Linked DNA regions of Mus musculus. The protein of the gene in region 1 purifies or fractionates together with the protein of each later gene. This does not show direct contact. Links are inferred from orthologs where the notes say so. Each region holds a gene or a part of one and is shown in the gene's direction. Other genes may lie near its edges.

Region 1 (3,500 bases):
ATGAATAAGGTGTGGATGTGTGTGTGCACATGTGTGCATGGAGATGTCAGACAACTTTGTGGAGTCAGTTCTCGGCTTTTACCATGGCTTCTAGAGATCAGGTTGCCAGACATCTGGCAGTGCTCTTACCCAAGGAGCTATCTTGCCAGTCCTCATCCCAATGGTAGTTACTATCTAATAGGTTTAAGTGAGTACAGGAGCTTTTTTTGAAAAGCATCTAAGTTCCCTTTTCAAGTAGATACATTATTATTTACCATTAATCATAGAAAACCATAACCAGTCAAAATTCTATTTAAATTTAATTCTATTTAAAGTCATATTAATGTTCTGTCTCTGCTTTGGATTTTTGTTTTGTCTTTTTGAGACAGCGCTTCTTTGCATAGCCAGCCTTGGATCTCCTGGAATTTTGGTCACATCTGCTGCAAAGATTTTATGAAATGTTAGACATGTTTAGTGAAGAATTTTATGTTAATAGATGAGTGGGAGTCCTTGAATGACCATGTTGGTCCAGAATTGGATCAGGCAGCTTTTGTGCAAAGCTTTGAGGAACCCTGGTTAGGGTTATGCTTCCATTGGTGATATTAAGAGAATAATGATGACTTACACGGAGGGCTTCAATAACGCACTGTAGACATTCAGAGGAAGATTAGGCCTTGGATTCATGATGCTGCTTGCTGTCCCTTAGTCTGTTGCATAAAGGAATAGAAAATTTTAAAGATGAAGGGCCTGAATTTATTGGGATTTTAAAAATAAGTGACTCATACTGGTCATTGAAGAATTAGGTGGCTCCATCAAATATCTGATTACAGTTTATCCCACCAGAGGGCAGTCAGAACAATTAAAAAGCAACTAGAAAGAAGATGGAATGGAAATGCAGACCAAAATCACAGCGGGGAGCTGAGCTGGGCATAGCTTAAAGGTTAAGTGCTTATCTAGCTTAACTGACCTGGGCCCAATCATTTCAGCAGCTGTAAAGAGGTAGACTTTGAAACATAAAACTCAGGTTGCTAATTTGGAAAGCACACTAATTTTTATGAGACAGCTTCTAACTAGCATTTCTAGTTGCAGGGGTTACAATTGCAGCATGAACTATTTTATTTGGCTTAATATAGCTTAATTCACTGTGTGATAGCTGTTCACTAATGTATACTTTCAGGGTATTTCTGTATGTCTCTGCTTGTTAAAGTATAGATTCTTGCTTCTTAACACTAGGGATTCTGAATCAGTAAATCTAAAGATCTAGTTGGTAATAGACCTTTGCAAAACCACTTTTTACCTCTTATCGTAGGTACTCAGTATATTTACTACGTTTTCAGTTTTTCCATTGTTATTCATAAACTGTTATTACTCTTTTTTTTTTTTTTTGCTACACTTAGAATATCTCAGATTATTGGGCCTCTTTTCTTTGCTTGCCATCTAGTGGTAACAAATAATAGTTGCTCAAATTTATACCAGCAGAGGAATTCAGAATGGGTCGTTTCACCCCCTCCCCCCAATATAGGCAGTCCTCAAACTTAGAGAAATCCTGTTTGAGCGCTTGGTGCTAAGGTTATAGGCAAGAGCCACTGTTCCATAGCTTATTTAATTTAGACTAGGTTCCCTGGCATCTCATTGATGGCTTTGCCTTCTGAGATTGCAGGCGTGCATATGCACTCTTCCCCTCCCCATTGCTTGACTTGACTCATTTGATGATTATAAAGTTATTTTTAATTGGAAAGGATATGTGCTCCAGATTAAACCCAGGGCTTTTGTGTTCTGGCTGGGCCAGACAGGATCTTCCTCTGTAGCTTTGGTTGGTCCCATACTTTTGTAGCTCATAGTGGATTTTGAACTTAAGGCAATCTTCCTGCATCAGCCTCCCACCTCTGGATTTCTAGCCCCCTAATTATCTCTTGTTTTCTATTAGCTTTGCAGGGGGAAAAAGATAACCATGAAAGGGATGGGTCAACAAAACTTGTTAAATCTATAGTCTCCTTTTACCATTTCCTGCATAGAAATGGTGGAATCAATGAAGAAAGTAGCAGGGATGGACGTGGAGCTGACAGTTGAAGAACGAAACCTTTTATCTGTTGCATATAAAAATGTGATTGGAGCCAGAAGAGCATCCTGGAGAATAATCAGCAGCATTGAACAGAAGGAAGAAAACAAGGGAGGAGAGGACAAATTAAAGATGATTCGGGAGTACCGGCAAATGGTGAGATTGTTAACTGTTTTGATACGGTACCGTGTTTTGTTTTGTTGAGTATATATGGGCATTTTGTCTTACCTATCTCTGTATCATGTGTGTGCCTGGTACCCTTGAAAGCCAGAAGAAGGTGTCAGATCTCTAGTACTGGAAATAGATTACTTCTCAAATATAGGTGGCATTGAGTTAATTTGCAGTTTTAGTACCATTAATTTCTGTATCTCTGTTAAAAGTGATTAACTTACATAGAGAACAGGTTTATTTTGCTCATAGGATTGAAGTAATATTGAATCTCTTATTGGGCATTTTGGATGGCAGTGGCAGGGTACATACATGTCTGATAGCAAAACTGCTTTTATGTTGAGCCAGGATAGAAGACATCCAGGATAGAAGACATCCAAGCCAAAGTAGTGTCCAGAAACAGTAACATTTGTGACAGAAGTAACAGGGTGTCTTTTACCTGAATTGTTGCCTTTTATGTTCATATTTAATACCTGGTGGAGAAAGGAGACTTGTTTCTTGTGAGTATCTGGCAAAATCGCAGGCCTATAGCTTTATAATTTTAGGTCACCACTTAATACAAACTACATAAGTATATATGTAAATGTATCTTGCATTTTTAGCTTTTATTTAATCTTGATTAGAAATTACAGTCTAGAGAGTATTTTGGGATATAAGCAAAGAACTGCTTGTTTTAGAAGTTGCACAGGGGGAAGATATCCCACAGGGAGGTGCAGTACTCAGGATTAGGCTTGGGGTGTACACTGCCACTGAGCTGTGTTCAACTCAGCTGAGTTTTGAACAACACATAAAGAACAAATGGAACTGTTGCTTTTTCTTTGGCTATTGTAAAGTACTTCATTGTCTACTTGAGTGAACACATAGGACAACTTCAGTTTTTACATTTATTTGTGTATGTGCCCCGGGGGGGAGGGGGGGTTGCTATTGTGCACATGTGGAGATGAGGACAACTGTGGGAGTTGGTCTTTCTATATTATGTGTGGCTCAGAGCTTGAACTGAAGCCTTGGCTATAAACACCCTACCCACTGAGCCATCTTCCCAATTTGTGTGCCTCTGTGTAATAAATAATGGGGTATAAATACTAATGAAACTGAATTACTGTCTTTATGGAGACTCACTCTGTTTTTTTGTTTTTTAATAATGACGATTATTGGGACTTTTAACTTTCTCTAAAGAAAGAATTTCTGAAGTTATTTCAGATGGGCTGTAAGTGTATGTATATTCAAAAATGGGGGCCTACTTACTAGTGCAGGGTAGAACTTTTGCCCAGCATGAATAAGGCTTTGGGCTTAA
Region 2 (4,169 bases), on another chromosome or scaffold:
GCTAGTCAGCATGTGGGCTCTCACAGAAAATGGTCTCCCAGGATCAGGAAAGTATCCAGTTGGTACCCTTGCCTCCTGGGCACTCTGGTCCTTTTCTCCAGGAGATTGAATGGCGTGAGTTCTGAAAGTCCCCTGGGTACTTGTGAGGCCTGTTCTGGCAGCAAAGTAGGTCCACTTGGCTTCAGACACATTTTTGGCACAGACACATTTTTGGGTTGATTAGCACGAAAAGTGTGTGACATCCTGGCTGAGAGGCCTGTCACAGGCACAGTCATGGCACTGTTTTTTTTTTTTTTTTCTTTTGCTTTTCGAGACAGGGTTTCTCTGTATAGCCCTGGCTGTCCTGGAACTCACTCTGTAGACCAGGCTGGCCTCGAACTCAGAGATCCACCTGCCTCTGCCTTCTGAGTGCTGGGATTAAAGGCGTGGGCCACCACGCCCGGCAGGTGATAACTTTTGTCATGGATCTAGCTATCCGGTACAGTCTGCTTAGAAGCCAAGAGACCAAACTTTGGAACCAGGCAGACCCTGACTGAGTTGAGTCTTCTGGTTTCCACCATGTGACCTTCTGGAGTGTCTGTTCTCACATGAAGAATCTGGGTCATGATATAACTTTCCTCACAGGATTAGGTGCACGCACCCTCTGGGTACCAAGGCACATGGAGCACTTCTCAGAGAACCATCCTGGGACAGTCAGCTCTTCAAGTGCAAGGATGGGGACCAGACTTTTAGTTATGTGACATTATTTCATAAGTTTATTTTTCCCTTGTCATTGGAACTTGGGTGAGTTTTTATTAGATTTGTTGTAGTTGGGGTCCTTGTTTCCCACCAACTTAGTGCCAGTAGTCCACTGCTGTGACCATTGCTTAGTTAAAATCTTGTTGGTAACCTCGAGCTAGCGTTTAGGAAAACAAAAACTCACCGTGAAATGGATTCAAACATTACCTGTGGCACCAAAAACAGGGGAAATTCTTGTAAAAATGAGGTCAGGAAGGACCGCCATTCCAGCCCACAATGAACACGCACCATAGAGACATTTCCCTAAGCTTAAACTCACAACTCCAGGTCTAAATGGGTGGTTGGACCCGCGTCCGGTATTCGGTATTCCTGTGGGTTCCAGCCCTGACTGTTCACATTCCTCAGATACCCACTTTAGGTTTAATCACAGTCGCTCCCCGAGACCAGTCCTGGTAACTTGAGAGGAATTTGCATTTCCACCGACCTTCCCGGACACGCGGCAGGGGCAGGGGCTACGCCAGCGCAGCTACGCAGCTGGGGAGGGCGTGGAGCCTTCCCTTGGCCTGGAAGGGGTTAAGGGACGGCTGGGGCGGGGCGCTGGGCCCTTTGTTACCGGCCTAGGCGGGAGGCGGGAGGCGGGACGCGGGCCTGGGCGCGGGCCTGCTGGGAGCGCGGCCTGGCGGGGCTGGGGGCCCGGGGTGGTGGGGCCTTCGCCGTGGCCACGGGACCATGTTGGAGATCTGTTTGAAGTTGGTGGGCTGCAAATCCAAGAAGGGGCTCTCTTCGTCCTCCAGCTGCTACCTGGAAGGTAAATCCTGGCCTGGGCGCGGGGCCCACCAGGACTGTCCTGCCCGCCCGTGCCCTGTGTGTTCTAGGTCCCCAGTCTTCTCCCTCTGAGGCCTCTGCGGGTGCTGGTGGCTCATTCGGACTTCCAGAAAGAGAGAGAGAGCCGCGGCTTTGGCGCTGGCGGGGCCCAAGCGCATAGTGTGGCTCCTGCCCAGAAAGTTTGAAAAAGTCAGTGCCACAGGCCTTAAGGTCCTTGTGAGCCCACGTTGTGGTGTTTCCACTGCCAACTGGGAATTGTATGTCACAAAGGTGGACCTACACCAAGTGCCGCGTACAAAGGGATCCCGCTCTACCATTTATGGGTACAGAATTTCATGTGAACTTTCCACCCCCACCCCCACCTTTCTGCAGACCATGAAGAGGTCTTGGGGATTGTCTCTTTTTAGAAGAGAAAGAATGGTTTTGCTTGTATTTCCAGGAGTTTTGAGAGCTTCCAGTTTGATGCTTGGTGAGGGAGCCCCTCATGTTTTGTTCTTTGCATAAACTTAGAGCCAGGAGCCTGTTGCTTTTGCCTGCTTTACCCTGCTCCTCCAATTCCATGCCTCCTTCCTGTTGTCTTTAGTGTTTGGGTCTAAAAGGATGGCAAGGGAAAAGGGTGAGTGGTGAGTGCTGGGGACTCGGCTGTGGCCAGGCCTGTTAGAGTATAGCTGACCTTTGTGGGGACTGCTGCCTTCTTCAGAAGGGCAGAAGCACTCACAGATGTGTGGTGCCCTGGCTTTTCTGGCTGTTTCATGTAAGAGTTAAGATAGGAGTAAAAATGTAAAGTTTTCTTCAGAGCAATTTGGATTTCTACTGTTTTGAATTGTAAAGAATTGAAGGCTTTTCAATATCTAACCTGCTTCCCCGACCCCCCTTCCAAGTCTTTGACTCAAAGACCTACAGGGCCCCACATGACCCAGCTCAGACTTAGGTGCCCAGCTCGGGTAGAGGATGTTCTCCCTTTGCTAGAAGGGAGTATAAGGGACTTCGCTATAAGTCACAGTAAGATTTCAGCCCCTCCGGGGATTTCAGGGCCTGGATTCCTGAGAGGAGCTTGGTGTGGATGGCATGAGCTCAGGGCCTACCACTTAGAGGGAGGGAGATGGTTTATTTGTCCCCAGAGTTGGCATCTGAGCGGCCAGAATCATCCTCAGTTAATGCGTTGCTTATTTTTTCCAAGTTGCTCCACACTCTCCGCACATTTCTCCTCCCCATCTGTATCCAGTTAGTGAGAGGCACTATCTCCATTTTGAGCCGCTGGAGGCGGAGATGAATGGACTTTTGTAACTGCAGAGTTGGGGCATGTCACAGCTTTGCTAAGGTATCAGCTTGTTCCTGGGGTAATGTGGGATTTAGTGCAGAGCTGTTGGTTTAATTCTTGTTTTAGAAGGGGGAAAAAATCCATTCTTATTCCAGCATAATCCTTAAGGTGAATTCTAGCATTGCCAAGTTCCAAAGGAGTGCTGTCCTCACTTGGGTTTTGTAGGCCTTCTCCAGGAAGGTGTCTCTCTAGGAGCTCTTTCTGTTCACTGAGTTCAAAAAGGTAGACGGAATTCTTGTTGTGTAGCTGACGGAATCAAGCTAGCCTCGGTGTAATTATGTCTTGAAGACGGAAGTGCTGTCTGTCTCTGGGGAAGAGAGCTGTTGCCAGAATCTGGGGAAGTAATCTGGGCCTTCATTTCTTGCTTACATCCTAAATCAATCAATCAGTTCATGACACCCACCCAGAGGCCTGGGCCTCACAGGCCAGGAAGAGAATTGAGTATGGTGAATTTTCCATTATTACCAAATGCATGCTCCCTGCTGCTGTGCAGAGAAGGCCTGGTCAGCACAGACAGCAGCAGCAGTTAGATGGCCTTAGTGGGCCAAGCATTGTCTGCATTCCACATGCCCTCACTTTCTGACTTCTTATGGTGGCCCTGATTATCTCATCTTGTAGATAAGAAACTGAGGCACCAAAAAAGGTTAGGTGACATCTCTGAGATGACAGAATCAGCAGGTGGTAGTCCCAGGATTTGAACTTGTGCTATCTGGCTCCAGGGAATTGCACAGAGAGAGAGAAAGGGGGAGAGGGGGTGGAGAGAGAGAGAGAGAGGGAGGGAGGGAGAGAGAGAGAGAGAGAGAGAGAGAGAGAGAGAGAGAGAGAGAGAGAATGAATGTTGGGTATTGGAAGCCAGGGCCTTGAACTACACCCATAGGCCCTTGCCAACTTTTGAATTTTGAGACGGACTTGCCAAGTTGTCCAGTCAGGCTGTGAACTCAATAATCTGTAAACGTAAAGAGACAGGCTTTGCACTTGGCATTTTCTTGCCTCAGCCTGCTGAGCACCTAGGATTTCAGGCTTGCACCCCAGCACCTGGCCCAGAAAGCCCATTCTTAGCCTGTCTGTGCTAATAATGGATCATTGGTCTGCCGTGGCATTGTTCTCCCGTGGAAAACACTATGGATCATTCAATACTGTCTTTAGAAATGCCCAGCTAGGGCCTAAACTGTACCAGTCTTTTCCTTTCTGCATCAGGTAATAGTAATACACCTGCTTTCATAAAGCAACAGGACCAGGAACATTTTTTAAGCAAACATAAAAATACTTGTAAGAAAATTCTGAA
Region 3 (3,500 bases), about 7.9 Mb from region 1:
TTTTGGGATAAATTAATGGGTGGATGTTAAGATGTGATGGAAACCCTTAGGGATATTGAAAGTACTTGACCCATTGAAGATGAACTAAGGATGGGGAGAAGAGGCCCTAAGGCTCCTGCCAGCAGCACGGTGTGACCTCAATTTGGAGATCACATCACTGGCCCAAGGAACAGAAGTGACTTGAGAATCAAGGTGTCTGTACGCAGACGGGAACAGAGGAGGCATCTCTTGGAGCAGCCGCCCTATGGTTGGTTGGAGGCTGTATGCCTCAGCAGACCAAGGACCCACCACAGAGGGGTCCTGTAGGGCCTGAGAAGGTGACTGTCTTTTGCAGGGTGTCTCCAACCTCTAAGAAGATGCAGCTTAAGACTGTACACCTTGGGCTGGAGAAAGAGGTGGCTCCGTGGTTAAGAATGTTTGTTCTTGCCAAGGACCTGGGTTCAGTTCGCAGCAATGACGTGGCTGCTCACACCTATCTGTAACTCCAGTTCCAAGGGACTGACACCCTTCTCTGACCTATGCAGGCAGGCACCAGACTCTCACACAGTACACATATATGTAGAGACAGACACACATAGAATAAAAATAAATAAATGTTTTTAAAAAAAAAAAAAAAAACAAAAAAGACTAGCTCCTTTGTGGCTCTCAGGCTCCCTGGATCCCAGTCTCCTTCCACGCTCCCAGATGACCCATCTCCCAGAGGAAAGGCTGGAGAAGAGGCGGGCTGCTTGGTAGTGAGCAATGCCCGTAAGGGTACCTGCTGCTTTTTCTCTCTGCTTATACCATTTACTTCTCAGTTTATCTAAGGTTCTCCGTCCCCACTCCCTCAGATCCTGTTACGGGGCGATAAATAGATGAAAAGAAATAAAGGGTGCTTTTTGTCCAAAAAGAGGCAAGCTGAAGGGGTCCTTTGGGTGTGTGTCCTGTGGGTTGCTGTCAGCCCTGGCCCAGGGCCCTTCCACACCAGGAAGAAGGGAAAAGTAGTTATTTACGGCAGCAACCAGGTCCTCTCGCTCCCTGCCAGGGCTCCAGGCCACTCCACCTGGTGAAGGGCGAGAAGCCACAGCTTTGTCCTCCTGATGCAAAGCTTCCCTCTCTGCCCTTCTCAGGGCGGTGGACGAGGAACAAGAAAACTTCACACACACCCCAGCCTCCAGAGCTGTGTTTTATCTTTCCCCAGGTGTGGGGATTGAATGGCGGAGCCACAAGGTCAATGCAAACTGAAATGACAAAGTATTTTGGGTGGAATTAGGTCTATTCCTAGCCAGTCTAAAGAAAAGCTCTAAAGAAAAAGATATCAAAAATGGCATGTGAAACCCCCGACAGGCGAGAGCCCCATGAATCCTCTCTGCCATCTGCCTGAGGCTGGTTCCGTACTTTTCCCCTCCCCCTGGGGGCTGCTTTCTCAGCTGCTGGGCAGACTAAGTGTCCTTGTGCACTTAGATTCTTATCCCAGCATTCGCTGTGACTTTTGCTCTCCTTGACCTCACACCTGTGTGCCTGAGAATCTCAGGACATCCCCACATGGGTGTTTTGTGGCCAAAGTCCTTGACTATCTTTAAAGTCAGTGTCTGTCATAGACCTCTGGGACTGTTGTAACAGAAATACGCTGGGGTCTTACCAGTGACAGAAGTTTATTCCTCATGGCTCTGCAGGATGGAATCGGGGGGTAGTTAGGTTGGGTTATGGTGAGTCCTCTTCTTTGATGCAGTCAGAACTCTGGTTCTTCCTACCTCTTCTGATAAGGACACTGTTTTAAAGCTATGACCTTGGGGTTAGAGTTTCGACTTAAGGACTGGGAGGGATGTAAGCTTCGGCCGATGATAACACTCTAAACTCCATGAGCAGCCTATGGTCAGCAGCCAGCTGTGGTCGCCAGCACCGTGCTTATGTACTTGACCGACTAGCACGCAGCCTACATGGAGTAGGGGCAGCGCATGTCAGGCGCCAAGCAGTCCCGGCAGTGTGGCGATGGTAACACCACTTGGGAAGGGCACTGGATGCTGATCACCGTATGTTCTTTTTAGAAGGGCCGAGCTGTAGAAAAGAATTAGGAAAGTAAGTAATGAAGTAGCAACACTCTCAGCCCCTCCCCATTTCATCACTTTGAGAATCCGTTTCTCTAACCTGCTGTGTATGTCCGTCTTCACATGCATGCATAGTACATTGTGTGTGTCTGTGTCTGTGTGCATGCGTGTGCGTGTCTGCAAGTTGAATCACAGTGCCTTGTAGGATTCTAACCTACTCACTTAAGACTATATACCAAAACCACTTTCCCAGCTATTTACAGGCAATTGCAAACTACAATAAGACACAAAGGCAGCACTGGTAAATTGGATAAAATGAAGCCTACAGTTACTTTGTTTTCTTTTGGGCTCAGTATGGGATATGTGACAGACATCCTTTCATTTTAAAGTAGAAGTACCCAGTTTTGACCCAATTTAAGAGACATTTGGTAAACATTCTGTCCTTAGACATAGTTAAAGATAGATGATAATAATGTTAGACCTCAGGGCAGCTGACTCAGTGAACCCCTCGGTGGTCTGGCTGTAGGGCACGTGGATGTAGTCAGCCCTCAGCATCATTTTCTTATCTGCTGATTCAGTCAACTGCAGGCAGGTTCAGGAGGTGGCGGGGACAACGTCTGGGGAGGGTGAAGAATATCTACTAAAAATGCACAGATATTTTTTCTTGTGATTACTTCCTAAGGGACATAGCATGACAATTGTTTACATAGCATTTGCTTTGTGTCAGTATCATAAATAATCTAGAAATCCCGTAAAGTCCATGGAAGACTACGCATGCTATTGTATTAGAGGGGACTTGCACACCCACAGAAGATCCTAGGAGCAATCCCCTATGGATGTCAAAAAAGGCTGTCTTCTTGGCCTGTGGCTTCCCCTGTAGGTTTTTAATGTGTACATGAATTCTATGAGATCATGGATGAAACTGTTGGTGGCCCTGAAAGGCAGGACCCCTGTGTATCTCGCTTGTGCTATGGTCACTGTACCCAGACCTGATTATGTATCTGCCCAGATACACCATTGCTTGAAGGCTGGCAGGGCATATATCCCTTAGCAGGTGCTCATGGTCTTCATGTCTTTTTCAGGAGGAGTTGAGACCAGACCTTTGGTTCGGGGTGTTGGTGGCCGAAGTATCAGCATGAAGGCATCTCCTGCTTCCCGATCCAGGCATGGGCCCTTCAAGACCATGCCCCTGAGGTGGTCATTTGGACACAGGGAGAAACGTCCCGGGGCATCCGTTGAACTGGTGGAATACCTAGAGTCCAGAAGAAGACCCCGTTCTACCAGCCAGTCCATTGTGCCGCTCTTGACTCGTGCTGCTGGTGGGGAAGAGACTTCAGCGTCACCGAGGTCAGATGGCACCCTTCCTGCTAAAAGTGAAGACAGCGGTCGAGCCATTGGGCAAGGAACAACTGGGGTGCCCCTTTCCTCATGCCACCTCAACCACCATCCAGCCCTGGGGTCTTTAGATGACAG
Region 4 (4,211 bases), on another chromosome or scaffold:
AAGCTATTTTTAAAGGTGTGTGGGTGCATTTTTTGAATCTGAGCCCAGTTCTTTCTAAACTTTTGTTACTCACCTCTGATTCATTTGCCTTTTTTCCCCTCGTTGTCTGTTGCCTCTATCATGGCCTGCTGCTCAGGGAGGTGGGGGTGCTGTTGCTGAATCACAGCTACTCAGGAAAAGCAATCCAAACTATGCCTTGGAGAATGCTCGACTTAGACTTCTTTCTCTTTTTTGACAGTCCCATTCTGTAGCCCAGGATGCCCTGGAACCAAAGAATGTAGCCCAGGCTGTTCTTGAATTTCTGGCAAAATTCCTGCCTCTCTCTCTCTCTCTCTCTCTCTCTCTCTCTCTCTCTCTCTCTCTGTGTGTGTGTGTGTGTGTAATAATATATGATTCACTCTTTGAGGTCTGATACTGCTTGTTGCTAGGGTAACATATACTGACCTCGAACTTGTGACAATCCTCTTTCCAGTGATCCCAACTCTTTTAAAACCTTTGTTACATTCGATTCATTCACTTCATTTTTTTTTTTTTTTAATCTCTCCTCACTTGCAACGGTCATCACTGGTTGCTGCGGTGGACATCAATTCACAGTTATTCTACAGGAAAAGCCATTCAAACCAGTCCTTGGAAAGGCTGGGCCGTTTCTCCCTTCTTTCCTGTCAGCAGACGCAGAGCGGTCAGCTGCAAGGTCTCACTGGCCTGGCGACCCCAAGCCTGCGAGCGACTGGAGGAAATGTTTAACCTCAGCCAGGCTCCGGCCCACCGGCCTCAGCGCCTCCCACAAAGCCGCACCGCGCTGTCCCGAACCTTGTCTGCAGGCGGGGCCGCCGCTGTAACCCGAGCTGGTGAGGGGTATAACACTGCTCCTCTCTCCAGCGCCGCGACCAGAAAAGGGGCGGAGCCTCTGGCTCTTGGCCCTCCTCCCTGGCCCTCGGCCCGCCCCCCTCTCAGCCCTGCATCCAGCTCTCTCCAGCTCTGCACCCTGCTCTCCCTTGCCCACCTGCAATCACGGCCCTCGGCCCCGCCTCCTCGGCCCTCCGCCCCTCCCTCCCTGGCCCTTGGCTCCGCCTCCTAGGCCTCCGCTCCGCCCTCCCGGGCCGTTCGCCCTGCCTCTTTGGCCCTCCGCCCCTCCCTCCCTGGCCCTTGGCCCCGCCTCCTCGGCCTCCGCCCCACCCGCCCAGGCCCTCCGCCCCGCCTCCTCGGCCCCCCACCACACTTCCCAGACCTCGTCCTCCCTGCCCCGGCGCGGCCTCCCCGGCTGGCTCGCTCTCGCGGCGGCCCTCATCCCGCCCCTGTGCGGGGCTCCGCGGCCCTATCGGTCCCGCCCTCCTTCCTCCGCCCTTCCTCCTCTGCGCCGCTGCGCACCGCCCTCCCTGCCGGGCCAGGCCGGCGTGCGCCCTCCCCGCGCGTCTCTCTGCCGGCTCAGCCCTCCGCGCGCCGCCCTGCGGCCCGGCCTCCTCAGCCCCGGCCCGCCGCTCGCCCTCCGCCGCCGCCGGCCGCGGCCGTCTCAGCCGCCGCCTCAGCCTGGGCGGGCCGGGCCTCCGCCGAGGGCCGTGCACCGGGACTACGAGGACGGGCTGCGAGCGCAGTAAGTACAACTTTCCCGGCCCGCGCCCCCCGCGGCGCCGCTGTCACCCTCGCGCCCTCACCTCGCCTCCCGAAAGTTGGCCCTGCCCGGGGTCGCCTCCTTCCCGGTGTCCTTGGCGAGCGACTTTAGAGGCCACTTTTGTGGGCGAGGGGAATGCGCGGTCGGCCCTCTCCCTCTCCAGATGGAAATCGGATGCTCGCCTGGAGGGAGAGCTTCCCCTCTGGAAAAGGAAAAGTGGCGGTTGGAAGGCTTCTGCATTTTGTCTGAACCGTAGCCGCCCTGCCTCCCCGGTGGCCAGCCCCTCCGGGGAAGCGAGTCGCCCAGAGGCGGCTTGCAAAGTTGGCTGCGTCCTGCACCCTGGAAACTTGCAGAGGGCAATCATAGGAGGCTCAACTTTAAGGGTCGGGGGCTTGGCGTGCGAGGCCGCTGCGGCCCGGTGGTGGGCGGCGGAGACCAGCTAGGGGCTGGGTTGCTCATTTCAGCATCGCCGAGCTGCCCGGGGTTGCGGAACCACTACTTTCCCAGCATCGAACAGCATCAAGGGCTCAAGCCCTTGGATCCTAGGTAGGGTTTAATCGCAGTCAGTTCTGGTCCTAATCTTTGGAGGCACAGAAGGAAATATGCAGGACACGTTTCCTAGCCTACTCCAGCTTGTCAGGTCAGCTCTGCCAACACATCAAAGCCTTGCGTTAAGGAGAAAAAAAAAAAAAATCCCTCCAACCCGCTGACAGCAGGGACGAACACTTAGATACCTAACTGTAGATTGGTGCTCAGCCATTTTTCATGAGACACGTTTTGTCCCAGGGAAGTATATTAAATATGTGGTGATCTCTGCGTTTCTGCCCAGTTTTGGGATGTGTATGTGTGTGTGTGTGTGTGTGTGTATGTGTATGTGTGTGGGGGTGTAGGTAGTTTTTCTTTCTTCTTTAAAAGTCTTTAATCTGTGGTTGCCAGGGGTTGTGATCGTACCTTGGAGGCACAGAAAACCGGCACCTTTCCTGTTTTGTTTTTTAAACCCAAAAACCTGTTCTTTGCTGGAGGCAATCGGGAATGTCAGCCCACTGCAGGGTGGGGGTGGGGGTGGGGTGCTGATAAACCCAGGAATCAGGGCTCCGGACAACTGCGCTAGCAGTTTGGGAAGTGGTTTGTGCTTTATCCTCTAGTGGTCATGTTAATGGTTCTTGTGATCGTATATATTTCCATGGGGAGCTACCCCTAAACCTCAAAAGTACACACGGCCAATACTCCATTTAAGAAGACTGGACACGCTTTGATGATTCTTCTACTGGAGGATCAGATTCAACACAGTGTAATTTGCAGTGTAGGTAATTAAATCTTTTCTAAAAATCCTCCCAATCAGTCACCCCTCCCTTGAAGAGTCTCAAGATGGTACTTTCCGTACCGGGCTCAATTGGCCATAATGGACTGAGATCTTTGCCATCAAGCCCTGTTTCTGGGCTACAGGAGCTTTGGGGGACAGCAGAGAGCCCCTAGAGGGAGCCAAGTCACGGGGCTGACTGTGCAGATAGGAAAGGTTTTCAGTTAGTGTCAGTGTCCTGGAGAGACTCAGTTCCGAAGGTGCCCATGCCATTCCTGGGGTCACACTACCTGAATTCTGCATTTTTTTTTTTTTTAGAGCTGTTTGGAAATTGTAGATTTAGCATCATACAGGGTTGTTGTGTTGCTTTTCTTTGCATTTTTGTCTTTAGAGTTTTAAAGCTTATGACTTTTAAAATCCTAATCCTCCGTGCTCACTTTTATAGCCTTTGTATTTGGTGGCATATGTTAGTGCTTGACCTGAGTGCCTTGCTTTCTGAGAAATGGTTAATTTCTTAAGAAAAGGTTTCCTGTTTCTTATTGGACTTTCTGTTGTTTCATAGAATTTGGGAGTAAAACTATTGTTTACTGCAGGGTATCATTGCTCTTTTTGTTGGAGTTAATTTTGGCAGTCCGGCTTTGTCCATTTATAAAATGTTGAAGTCCCAGAAAAATTTGCAAGTGTTCAAAACTTGGCCAAGTTCATTCTAGGTGGAGGTGGAATAGGGTTGAGGTGTGGATAGGAAACATTAGAAATTATAAATACAGGATTTGAATTAAAGAGCAATGTATCAACTACTGGCTCTTCTTGGCTGTTACTTTGTTTCAGTCCTAAATATCCTAATGTAGAAGTAGTTCCTAGTGTTCTATAGACTTGGGAGGGATGCCTCCTAGCAGCTAGCCAGACTTGTCAGCATCCAGGGAGCCAAGAATGGTCCCCGTTTCTCTAGCTTTGTGATCTAAATTCACTGCCTTTAAGATGGGGATACTACTGTTATCAGGAAAGCTATGATGGACAGGCACCTCAGGCGTGCCTGGCACATCTTCGTCTACAATGGCAGCATCTCCCATTTCTCCGGAACTTTGTCTGTGCCATCCAGACTTGCAAACTCTTCCTTGCCTTTTCCGAACGCATCTATCCAAACAAAGTGTCTTGCTTACTCTGCACTCTCTTCTGTCCATCAGCTCTCAGAAACAGTTGACCACAAAGTACTGGCTATCTTTCCAGCAAAGTAGCTCTCAAACCTGTTTGATTTTCAGGCTCTGCCATGTTGTCCTTTAGTTCAAGCCACTCTGACCTCTC
Region 5 (3,500 bases), on another chromosome or scaffold:
CAGTCCAGTGTCTGAGCCCACGTGTGGATAGTAAGGGTGTCACGGGTTTTCTGTAGCTGGTTTTCCTCAGGAGGTTGAACCCAGTGTCTCCCTCCCTGACTCAGAGCCCCAGCCTACAGTATGCTGGTTGCTGTTTTCCCCCTAACCGTGGTAACTTCTGATATAGTCTTGAGCACTGAAGACAAAGCATCTATCTATGCTCATATGTGTAACTGTTAAGTGTGACGAATAAGTTGTTCCATGAGTTTTTCAGGACAGCTTTCCTCTGCTGAGAGCTTGATCCAGCTGACAGATGGAAATTTTAATTGTAAAGTTAATTAAAATGATCTCATCCGCCAGCAGCCTGCTATTGCTCCATTTTCCCCCAAATCAGTTTTTAATGATTTCAGAGTAACATTATCACTCAGCTAAGGCCTTAGCCCTAGAGTGTCTTCTGAAGAAGACAGAACAAAAGCCGTCCTTAAGAGGAAATACAGAACTCCAGGACATGAGAATTGAGGACTCAAACCTCACTTGCTCATGGGTTACTGCACCAGGTCCTTGGCCATTCAGTCCCGACCTCCCATTTACATGGAAAGCAGTTCATTCTTTGATTCCCTTTGCAGATACTTAGGGGTATCAGGGGCTTAAAACTCAACCAAGTTTTTGCCATATTTCAGGATTCTTCATTCGACCATTCTACAAGATGATGCTGGGGAAGCAGATAACGCTGAACGACATGGAGTCCGTGGTGAGTAAAAGCAGTGCGTCCTGTAGCCGTCACAGGCTGCCTCACCCTGTGCACGGTGTCAGGAGCTGTGTTTGCAGTCACAGCTGTTGTCATAGGTACAGTCCTGCGGAACATAGGTACTTCACATGAACAAGAGGGAGGAATCGCTTGCTTGAAATTTAATTGATCTCCTGATTTCTATAATAAGCAAATTATGGTTGGTTTCTGAAAAAACATGGTACTTAAGGTCGGTACGCCTAAGTCTCAATTCCCACTTAACGAACTGAGACTTGATGAGCAGATTAAACCTGAGGGGCACCTGAAGCCCGCCGTAGCCTTGCTCCCCATCTACAGTGTGACAAGATTCCACCTTCTGTTTTATGCCTTCATAGAAGTGGTGGAGGCAAGGCCAAAACAATAGTCATCTAGACATGGTCGTCTCGACACAGGAATTAGTGACAGCTGCAGAATGGGAGCGTGGGATGAGTGTTAGACAGGCTGGCCCTCACAGGGCCCCGTGCTTGCTGCTTACCTGGACTGACTGTCCTTGGCCAGGAAAGATCTACGAAACAAAACATGTCCTTCTTTTCAGAGGACACTTGAATGTCTGGCTTTCTCTATTTATGTATACTCTGTAGTGTATGTGTGTGAGTCTGTGTGAGTGTGTATGTGTATATGTGTGTGTATATGTATGTATGTACATGTGTGCGTGTATGTATGTGTGTATGTTTGTGTGTGTATGTGTGTTTGTGTGTATATGCATGTGTGTACGTGTGTGTATGTTTGTGTGTGCATGTGTGTGTATGTGTGAGTCTGTGTGAGTGTGTATGTGTATATGTGTGTGTATATGTATGTATGTGTATGTGTGCGTGTATGTATGTGTGTATGTTTGTGTATGTATATGTGTATGTTTGTGTGTGCATGTGTGTGTATGTGTGTATAAGTGTGTATCTGTGCGTGTATATGTGTGTGTATGTGTGTTTGTATGTGTATGTGCTCCTGTACATATACATAAGTGTACACACGCACACTGGCCTGTGTGTACTAGCTACATTTTTGTTCTTGTAGAAGAATTACAGCTCTGTTTTCATGTGGTCACTTGAGTTAGAAAGCTGTGCATCCCTTGGCCCCGCTGGCATATGGACCGTGTGTGTCTTGGGCAGAGCTGTGAATGTAAGCGATGCCCATGATGCCAGCTAGAGCTCACTGTGTTTCTGCTCGGTGCTGCGGGAGGCGAGAGACGACTATTGCACTCTGGACCTCTGTGACCTCTGCAGACTGGCTGGCGTCTGTAATCTCAGCTCAGTCTCAGTTTCCCTTCGAGCCTCCCCTTTGTCAATGCTTTCTGCTTCTGCTGTGCCATTCTGAGGAGTCTAAGAGCACAGAAATTGCTTCTGTGCGCTCCCAACCCTCAGTGAAGGAAGGGGGTCAAGAGAGGATTATCACTGTGTATGGGGTCTAGCTTGGCTTAGAACACACAGTCCTCCGGCCTCTACTCAAGTGTTGGGACTCTAGGTGTTCAACACTATGCTGCTGGAAATTGTTCTTAACGCCCAAGTCTGTGGTTCCTATCGGCCACTAGTGTTTGGGGGAGCTTGTTATTATTTTGTTATTTTAATTACTATGTATTAGGGGAGTGGCACATGCCAATGAGCACCGGTGCCCATAGAGACCAGGGGCATCAGAGTTTCCCTGGAGCTGGTGTTACAGGTGCTTGTGAGCTACCCAGGGTGGGTGCCAAGGATCAACCTTGGATCCCCCAAAGAGCAGCGCACATTCTTAACTGCTGAGCCATCTCTGCTCTCCCAGCAGAGCATTTGTGTTTTAAATGTGATGTGCATATAATTTTCGGTCTCCTTTGAGCCTGTCATATTCCTAGCAATGGAGACTTTGGGCATGAGCAGAAGGGACCTGATAGCCTCATGGCTACTCTCTTCTAAAACACAGCTCTGCTTTTTACTTAAATTAATGGGCAAAGAACACTGAAGAAACAGGAAAGGACAGAGCACAAAAATGTATGGTGTTTAGTTAGAACACTGTCCTACGTGGTCTCTGATAGTAGACTCTGAGAAGACAGGAAGTCGGTGTGTTAAATTCTGTGTGGACCTGAGACAGGCATGCTGTGGCCACAAACAACGCGTAGCCAGGCTATAATCCCAGCTCCTGGATGCTGGGTCAGGAAGAGGAGTTGGAGACCACTGTGGGGTTCCCAAACAAGACCCCTTAACTCTCCAGCTGCTCTAACTCCCCTCCCAAGCAGGTGGCCTTCACAGTAGAGATCAGGGGAAGTCACTTTCCACAGATCTTGTGTTTTACATTAGTGGGAAGATGGGGCTCGAGAGATGACTCAGTGGTTAAGAGTGCATGCTGCTCTTGTAGAAGGCCTAGGAATTAGGTTCCTAGCGTGGCCAACAACCAGCCACCTATAACACCAGCTCCTGAGGCTCTCACCTGAACACATGGGCACACATACACACACACACACAAGTACACAGACACAAAATAAAATCTAAGTAAGTAAGCGGGAAGTGGTTTTGTTAGAGCAGACTCCCTGAGTAGCATCGCCCTTGGACATTGGGCATAGAATTACATTAGAATGAATTTATTCATAAAGGAGCCAGACAGATTTTAAAATTCTCACGTTCCTTTCTATGTCATTCCGATAGGACAGCGAGTACTACAACTCTTTGAAGTGGATCTTAGAAAACGACCCCACGGAACTTGACCTCATGTTCTGCATAGACGAAGAGAACTTTGGGCAGGTATGTGGGTTCGTCCAGCTCCTGTGGCT
Region 6 (3,500 bases), on another chromosome or scaffold:
AGGTCCTCTGCAGAGCAGCAAGTGCTCCTAAGTGCTGGGCCATCACTCCAGCCTCCGTGACTTTTTTTAAATTAGGGAATGTCTTGTTTTCCCTTTTCATCGTTTTCTTTCATCGTGTCAGCAGTCAGCACCATAGCCCTCTTATTTGCAGATCTTAGGATGGAAAGTGGGAGGAGAGCAGAGGTGTGCATCTGAGAAGGGAACATGTCCCTGGGGATTCCCAGCTAATGATGTTTTACTATAGAGCAGGGATTCTAAATATGATTATTTGAGGACATGGGGATTTAAGCGGAGAGAATTGGTCACACATGCCTTTAATCACAGTACTCTGGAGGCAGAGGCACTTGGTGTCACAGAGATCAGAGATTGGAGGCCAGCCTGGTCTACATATTATATTCCAGGCCAATAAAGGCTATACACAAGAAGACCCTGCTTTAAATACATATATTGTAAGCCTGGTGGTGGTGGCTCACATCTTTAAGGCAGAGGCAGATAGATCTCTGAATTGGAGGCCAGCCTGGTATACAGAGTGAGTTCAAGAATAGCCAGGGCTACACAAAGAAACCGTGTCTCAAAATAAAAAATAAAAATAAAACAAAACATATATATTATAGATATGAGTGTGTGTTTGTATATATGCAGAAACAGGAGTGTGTGTGGAGGTCACAGGCCGACTTCTCCAGAGTTGTTTCTCTGCTTCCACTGTGGGTTCCAGGGATCCAAGTCAGGATCTCAGTCTTACATGGCAAACATGTTTACTCACTGAGCTAACCTAGACTTGGAGATTTGTTTTAAGCGTTTTTCCCCTTTCTCTTTCTTTCTTAGCTTTTTCTTGAAACCAAGCACGTCTGGTGACAGTTTACAAAGCGGCAGCATTCCATCAGCCAGTGAGCCCTCTGAACACAAACCCACGTCCAGTTCAGCAGAACCTGACCTGATCAGCTTTATGGATTTCTCAAAACACAGTGAGACCATAACAGAAGAAGCAAGTTATACAGTCGAATCAAGGTATTGAAGAGTTCGTAGAGTTCACTGTAAGAAGAGAAATGCAGTATTCCTGTGAACATTCTGCATCTAAAGACATGGGGATGTCATGCTTGGGCTTGGTGGTACATGCCTGAATGAGGAAGATTATAAATTCAAGTCCAGTCTGTCCCATCCCTGCCCCTTGCCAGTGTAAATAGTATTCTATCTGTTTCTAGTTAGATCGTAGCCTGGTATAAATCAAAAGCCTCCCAGCAAATCTGTATTTACTTACATGGACAAGTACTTCTTAGAGATTGTGTTTAATAAAGATTAAGTTATGGTTCAATAAAACAGCTAAATAGACAGTTTTGTTAATATCATGTCCTTGTATACCCGTCACCATCTGACCAGGGTTAGGAGAATGCTTGGGGAATGTTTAATGCTTCCATGGGGAGAGATGGTTAGAGATTGAGCAGGCCTCAGGAGACAAGTGCCCCACCACTGAGCCCCACCTCCAGCTTCACATTTAAGGCTTTTATTTATAGATATAAAATTGTTCCGTGCTATCAGAAGTACATGCTTTGTTTTTGTTTTAACAATTTTACTTATTTTATGTATGTAAGTACACCAGAAGAGGGCATTGGATCCCATCACAGATGGTTGTGAGCCACCATGTGGTTGCTAGGAATTGAACTCAGGACCTCTGGAAGAGCTCCTGCTGAGCCATCTCTCTAGCCCCACACTTAATCTTTTACAGATGCCAGTCCTTCTCGGGGGATTCAGACCATTTAAATCCACTGTAGAAAATACTGTACCTCTCTAGAATTTTTCATGATTAGCATTGCTTCATTTTTTTTCAGTGATGAAATAAAGAAAACCAATGGTGATGTCCAGAGTGTGAAAATGTCATCTGTGCCTAACAGTTTATCTAAGCGAAACGTATCTTTGACTCGAAGTCACAGTGTTGGAGGCCCTCTGCAGAATATCGACTTCTCCCAGCGACCATTTCATGGCGTCTCAACAGTCAGTCTTCCAAGCAGTCTGCAGGAAGATGTGGTATGTACTGTTAGAGCCACACCATATACTTGTGTAATATATAGCTTGGAACATCCCACAATTCCATGGTATCATGTGAAAAGTACAAATTTTTTTGGTGGCACTTAAGGCGGAGACAGGAGGATTAAATTCATCTTTGTGAATTTTAAGCCTGGTAGAACTGCATGGCAAGATCCTGTGTGCTGGGAAGATGACTCAACCATTAAAATGCTGCTGCATAAGCGTGACCACTCAGGAGCTCAGATCTCCTGCACCAGTGTTGAAGCCGTGTGGGATGGCCCGGGCCAATAATCCAAACACTGTGGGCATGGAGACAGGAAGGTTACTGGACTTGCTAGTCAGTCAGCCAGGCTGAATTGTTGAGCTCCAGGTTCACTGAGAGACTTTGTCTCACAAAATAAGGTAGAGACTGTTGAGGGAGACAGTGTCATGTGCTGCACATACTCAGACACATAGGAACATAGGAAACTGCCAGGTGTGATTGTGTGTGCCTGTCCCAAAAGTCTATAAAGAAACAGAAGGGTTTTCAAACAGAAACTGTACCTGTGTGCATGCGTTTTGGCTTTTGAGACATGATCTTGTTGTGTAGCTCTGACTGTTGTGGAACTTTGTATGTAGATGAGACTAACTTCAAGTGTGTGGGGGCCTCATGCCTCTGCCTCCCAAGTGCCGGCTTACAAGCATGAGCCACCACACCCAGCTTAAACCTTAGCATTGAAATTTTCAAAAATGGACAAGGTCTCACAATATAGGCTAGACTGGCCTCAAATTCACAGATATTCTCCTGCCTCTGCCATCCAAATAGTATGTACTTATGTACCCAGCTTATTAAGTCTCTTGACCCAACAGCTACCTTTAGTAATTTTTAGTTTATGGCCATTTTTTGGTTATTGTTTTATGAAAATCCTTATTAACTTTTCTATACCTAAATTATTTTAAAAGCAATTTCAAGCAATGTCTATCCTACATATAAATATTTCAGCAGGTATCTGTAAATGATGACTTTAACAAATATAATCACAATATTATACCCTAAACTAGGGAATCATTAGGATATTCAGTCTTTGTTCAGAGTTTTAATCATGAAAGTTGTGTCAGAAGTATTTCTGGGGCACGATGTGGTCTTAGACATCAAGGTTAAAGTAAAGTCAGCCTTGCTTGGTTGGGGCACTTAGTCTTTAAATTACAGGCACCATTTTTTCTCCCAGTTAGATATGAGAGGTTTCCACAGTCCTGATTTGGTTGATTGCAACCTTACAAATTGGCATTTGAATCTAGAAACATAGTTAGCTTCAGGGTTTGTTTGTTTGTTTTAATTTTATTCTAAATTTAACTTTTTAAAATTTTAAATTTAATTCTAAAATTAACTTTTAGAAAAACTTGGATATAAAAAATATTAGATGCCAAAAATTGCCAGATCCAAAGTCTATATATCTTTTATGCATCTGAAATAGCTACTTTGAGGTTGTGAGCCTTCG
Region 7 (3,500 bases), on another chromosome or scaffold:
AGTAGCAATAGAGGGGAAATTAGAGCTCATTCTGTGTTCACAGGCAAATGTATAAAGGGATTTGGGCTCAGAAGCAGCATTAGCTTCATAGCTGCCTCTGTCCTTTGGCCAAAGGAAAGCACATGACTCCCCACCATCTTCCCTGTCTTGGTTGCCAGGGTCACAGGACAGGATGAGAGTGCTCAGTGACTGGGGAATGCCAGTGCTCTGGTGACAAGCTGCTTTAAGGACTTCTTTTTCTGTTCTTTAGAAGAGGCTATTTGTAGGATGGCTCTTAAGAACATAACTCTGACCAGGTCTTTATGTTGCTGTGATTTCAGGAGGTAAAAGTGTCGAGCCCTGACTACCCCGAAAGGAATAGGGAGAATGTGATGGAGGACTTCCTGAAGAGAATTGAGTGCTACAAGGTCACTTACCAGCCCCTTGACCCAGACAACTATGATAAGTAAGGTTTAACACCATGATCTGAGGGTTGAGGTGAAAGGAAAATTGTCTTTCTCTTTTGGTCTCTAATTTCTTCTGGTAATCTAAACCTATGATATTTGTATCATTTCACAGAACAGAGTTTTTTATTGTGACATTGTCTTAGTTACAATTACTATTGCTGTGATGAAACACCATGATCAAAAGCAAGTTGGGGAGGAGAGATTTTATTTGGCTTGGACTTCTACATTGTTGTCTATCTTTGTAGAAAGTCAGGACAGGAACTCAAATAGGGCAGGAATCTGGAGGCAGGAGCTGATGCAGAAGCCACAGAGAAGTGCTGTCTACTGGCTTGCTCCCCAAGGCTTGCTCAGCCTGCTTTCTTATAGAACCGAGGAGCACCAGCCCAGGGGTGACATCACCCACAACGGGCAAGACCCTCCTCCACTGATCACTAATTAAGGAAATGCCCTACAGCTCGCTTACAAAGCACTTTTATCAATTGAGAATTTTCTTTAATTCTCCTCTCAGATGACTTAAGTTTGTGTGAAGTTGACATAAAACTAGCTAGCACAAATATTTATTTGGGACATGTATTTTACTTAATCATGCTTAACCATATGTTCTTATCAGTTTTTCTGTTCGGTTGCTGTATTTTCTAGAGCAGCAATTCTTAATGTGTGGGTCCTGATCTCTTTGGGAGTTGAATGATCCTTGCACAGGAATCACATATCAGATATTCTGCATGTCAGATATTTATATTATGATTCATAACAATAGCAAAATTAATGTTATTGAAGTAGTAATGAAGATTATTTTATGCTTGGGAGTCACCACAACATGAGGAACTGTGTTAAAGGGTTGCAGCATTAGGAAGGTTGAGAACAACTGCTCTGGAGCAAGGCTTTCCATCTAAGTATTACTGAGATTTTGAACTATGGAATTCTTTGTTGAAGGGGCTGCTCTGTGTATTATAATATGTTTAGCAGTCTCCCTGGCCTCTGTCTACTTGGTGCCAGGAAAAGATCCAAGCTGTGATGACTGAAATGTTTTCAGGCACTACCAAAAGTCTCTTAGGGGCACAAATCATCTCTAGTTGAGAACCGCTGCTCCAGATTTAGCAAATTGGAACTAGAATGCTGTAGGATATCCCTTGGAGATGTGTCATCAGTTTTAATAAATTTTAAAGTTTGCCTCACTCAAGAGGAAATGTCTGATCAGTGTGAGACATCATAACAGTGAGGGCTTGCCTGGTGTGGGGTATAGTAAAATGTTATGCTGAAGGAAGAAAGCACGGAGACCTGTGGGAACATTGCCTTAGGAAATGTGTTTTGCTTTGTGTTTTTGAGACAGTGTCAAGGAATCAATGCTGGCCTTTGACTCACTGTATAACAGAGGATGACCTTAAACTCCTGGTCCTCCTGCTCCCAACTTCATAGTGCTGGGATTACTGGGTACACAGTTGTATCTTGATGAAACAATGTTATAGTCAGTAGTTTTCTCCCCATTGTGACAGAACACGTGACATAAGTTACTCAGGAGAAGTTTGTTTTGGCCCAGTGCTCAGCAGGTACAGCAACCTTGGCAGCGAAATCACAGGAGCAGGCCTGTCTTCCTCCCACAGGCTGCTGCTTGTTCATACCTCAGAGGCTCAAGTAGCAGGAAAGTTGTGCTCACCCAGCTTTCTCTTTCCTCTTCCCCCATTTTCTGATTCAAGATCTCAGTGTCCTAGGATAACCTTGAACTCAGAGTAGTCCTGCCTCTGCCTCCTAAGTACTGAGAGATGTGAGGCTCCATGCCTGGCTCCATTTTCTCCTATTCAGTCCACGACCTTCTAGGCCATAAGACGATGCTGTCCACAGTCAGGGCGAGGGTTCCTCCCTCATTTGGTCTTCTGTGGAAACACCATCACAGACATACCCAGAGGTGTGCACCCCTGATTTCCTAGGCATTGCTTACTTAGTCCAGCCAAGCTGATGATTGAGAGCAGCATGTAGGACATTTAATAAGACATGGTAGACAAGCACAGTGTTAAGTTATTGCAGTCAGCCCATTCATGTTTACAACTTTGCATTTCCTTCAAATGGATTTCCCAGAATACTTGTATTTAGATTTCTAAATACTCGTTTTTAGAAACATTTCCATAATAATGGCTGAAAGGCACTGCCCCAGATATGACATAAAGAGGTATCTTTAGTTTGCTCTAAGTCCTGTGTAGGAAAGCATTCTAGAGGGATATTCATATTTATATGTATGTATGTATGTTTGAAGGGTTTTATCTCTGATGGGAGATCCATAATGAGTTACCTTGTTGTGTCTTTTTTCCTTGGTCATTATTTTGAATGAGCTCTTATTTAAATTTAAGAAAAACCCCATGGCTATAAAGCAGATAGTTTGCAGTGGTGTTTTTGAGAAAGGTTGACTAGGTGTCAGAGGGTATAGCAGGCATCCTTAGAGTGAGTGTGTGCTTTGTTTTCTCCTCTCCTCCCCCTGAGTTGCCATGTTCTGTCTAGATTTTGACCATGTCATGGGGGCCCCAGATGTCTCACAAAAGTTTGAATTTAGCAAAATCTTCAAGTCACTTAGAAAAGCCTGAAATTTTATTTTCCACACTTAGATAAGCTACATGACACAGGTTGGACACTGAAGAAATAGTACATTCTTACTGGAGATTCAAGAAATTGTATTTCATTTTGGTTTGGAGATGTACTGTCTCTTAGCATTTGGTTCCATAAACGTGGCAGTGATGAGGGAGAGAGGACAAATTGATGAGGTCGTACAAGTCAGTATTCAAATCATTCTCTCTAGACTTGTTTGTCTTGAGAGCATCAGACTGGAGCCCCCTCCACCTTAGGCTCCTAAGTGCAGGTGCTGATAGCCTTGCCGCCCCCCCCCCCCACCTCACACCTACTTTACTTTTAGATTTTCTTACCATGAAATGTCCTCCTCCCCTGCCCCAGGGATCTTTCTTTCATAAAGGTGATAAATGTAGGCCAGAGATTCCTGGTCAACAGAGTTCAGGACTACATCCAGAGTAAGATTGTCTACTACCTGATGAATATCCACGTCCATCCTCG

Evidence for each region.
Region 2: the proteins of Ywhae (region 1) and Abl1 purify together in Homo sapiens (affinity purification with mass spectrometry; 4 studies listed by BioGRID and IntAct, with this or other methods). This does not show direct contact. The link is inferred for Mus musculus from reciprocal best matches to the Homo sapiens genes YWHAE and ABL1.
Region 3: the proteins of Ywhae (region 1) and Usp43 purify together in Homo sapiens (affinity purification with mass spectrometry; 3 studies listed by BioGRID and IntAct, with this or other methods). This does not show direct contact. The link is inferred for Mus musculus from reciprocal best matches to the Homo sapiens genes YWHAE and USP43.
Region 4: the proteins of Ywhae (region 1) and Rassf8 purify together in Homo sapiens (affinity purification with mass spectrometry; 3 studies listed by BioGRID and IntAct, with this or other methods). This does not show direct contact. The link is inferred for Mus musculus from reciprocal best matches to the Homo sapiens genes YWHAE and RASSF8.
Region 5: the proteins of Ywhae (region 1) and Nedd4l purify together in Homo sapiens (affinity purification with mass spectrometry; 3 studies listed by BioGRID and IntAct, with this or other methods). This does not show direct contact. The link is inferred for Mus musculus from reciprocal best matches to the Homo sapiens genes YWHAE and NEDD4L.
Region 6: the proteins of Ywhae (region 1) and Dennd4c purify together in Homo sapiens (affinity purification with mass spectrometry; 3 studies listed by BioGRID and IntAct, with this or other methods). This does not show direct contact. The link is inferred for Mus musculus from reciprocal best matches to the Homo sapiens genes YWHAE and DENND4C.
Region 7: the proteins of Ywhae (region 1) and Pfkfb2 purify together in Homo sapiens (affinity purification with mass spectrometry; 3 studies listed by BioGRID and IntAct, with this or other methods). This does not show direct contact. The link is inferred for Mus musculus from reciprocal best matches to the Homo sapiens genes YWHAE and PFKFB2.

Annotation. Positions count from the first base shown.
Region 1 is NC_000077.6:75,749,887-75,753,386, forward strand, and holds part of Ywhae (14-3-3 protein epsilon), read left to right. Parts: intron 1-1,994; coding exon 1,995-2,194; intron 2,195-3,500. UniProt on the Homo sapiens protein: Adapter protein implicated in the regulation of a large spectrum of both general and specialized signaling pathways. Binds to a large number of partners, usually by recognition of a phosphoserine or phosphothreonine motif.
Region 2 is NC_000068.7:31,758,570-31,762,738, forward strand, and holds the start of Abl1 (tyrosine-protein kinase ABL1), read left to right. Parts: upstream 1-1,369; 5' UTR 1,370-1,467; coding exon 1,468-1,546; intron 1,547-1,603; exon of another isoform or gene 1,604-1,822; coding exon of another isoform or gene 1,823-1,886; intron 1,887-4,169. UniProt on the Homo sapiens protein: Non-receptor tyrosine-protein kinase that plays a role in many key processes linked to cell growth and survival such as cytoskeleton remodeling in response to extracellular stimuli, cell motility and adhesion, receptor endocytosis, autophagy, DNA damage response and apoptosis.
Region 3 is NC_000077.6:67,856,154-67,859,653, reverse strand, and holds part of Usp43 (ubiquitin carboxyl-terminal hydrolase 43), read left to right. Parts: intron 1-3,109; coding exon 3,110-3,500. UniProt on the Homo sapiens protein: May recognize and hydrolyze the peptide bond at the C-terminal Gly of ubiquitin. Involved in the processing of poly-ubiquitin precursors as well as that of ubiquitinated proteins.
Region 4 is NC_000072.6:145,745,376-145,749,586, forward strand, and holds the start of Rassf8 (ras association domain-containing protein 8), read left to right. Parts: upstream 1-1,411; 5' UTR 1,412-1,591; intron 1,592-1,652; exon of another isoform or gene 1,653-2,999; intron 3,000-4,211.
Region 5 is NC_000084.6:65,195,256-65,198,755, forward strand, and holds part of Nedd4l (E3 ubiquitin-protein ligase NEDD4-like), read left to right. Parts: intron 1-659; coding exon 660-730; intron 731-3,375; coding exon 3,376-3,471; intron 3,472-3,500. UniProt on the Homo sapiens protein: E3 ubiquitin-protein ligase that mediates the polyubiquitination of lysine and cysteine residues on target proteins and is thereby implicated in the regulation of various signaling pathways including autophagy, innate immunity or DNA repair.
Region 6 is NC_000070.6:86,835,555-86,839,054, forward strand, and holds part of Dennd4c (DENN domain-containing protein 4C), read left to right. Parts: intron 1-825; coding exon 826-1,008; intron 1,009-1,826; coding exon 1,827-2,022; intron 2,023-3,500. UniProt on the Homo sapiens protein: Guanine nucleotide exchange factor (GEF) activating RAB10. Promotes the exchange of GDP to GTP, converting inactive GDP-bound RAB10 into its active GTP-bound form.
Region 7 is NC_000067.6:130,702,322-130,705,821, reverse strand, and holds part of Pfkfb2 (6-phosphofructo-2-kinase/fructose-2,6-bisphosphatase 2), read left to right. Parts: intron 1-320; coding exon 321-445; intron 446-3,383; coding exon 3,384-3,500. UniProt on the Homo sapiens protein: Synthesis and degradation of fructose 2,6-bisphosphate.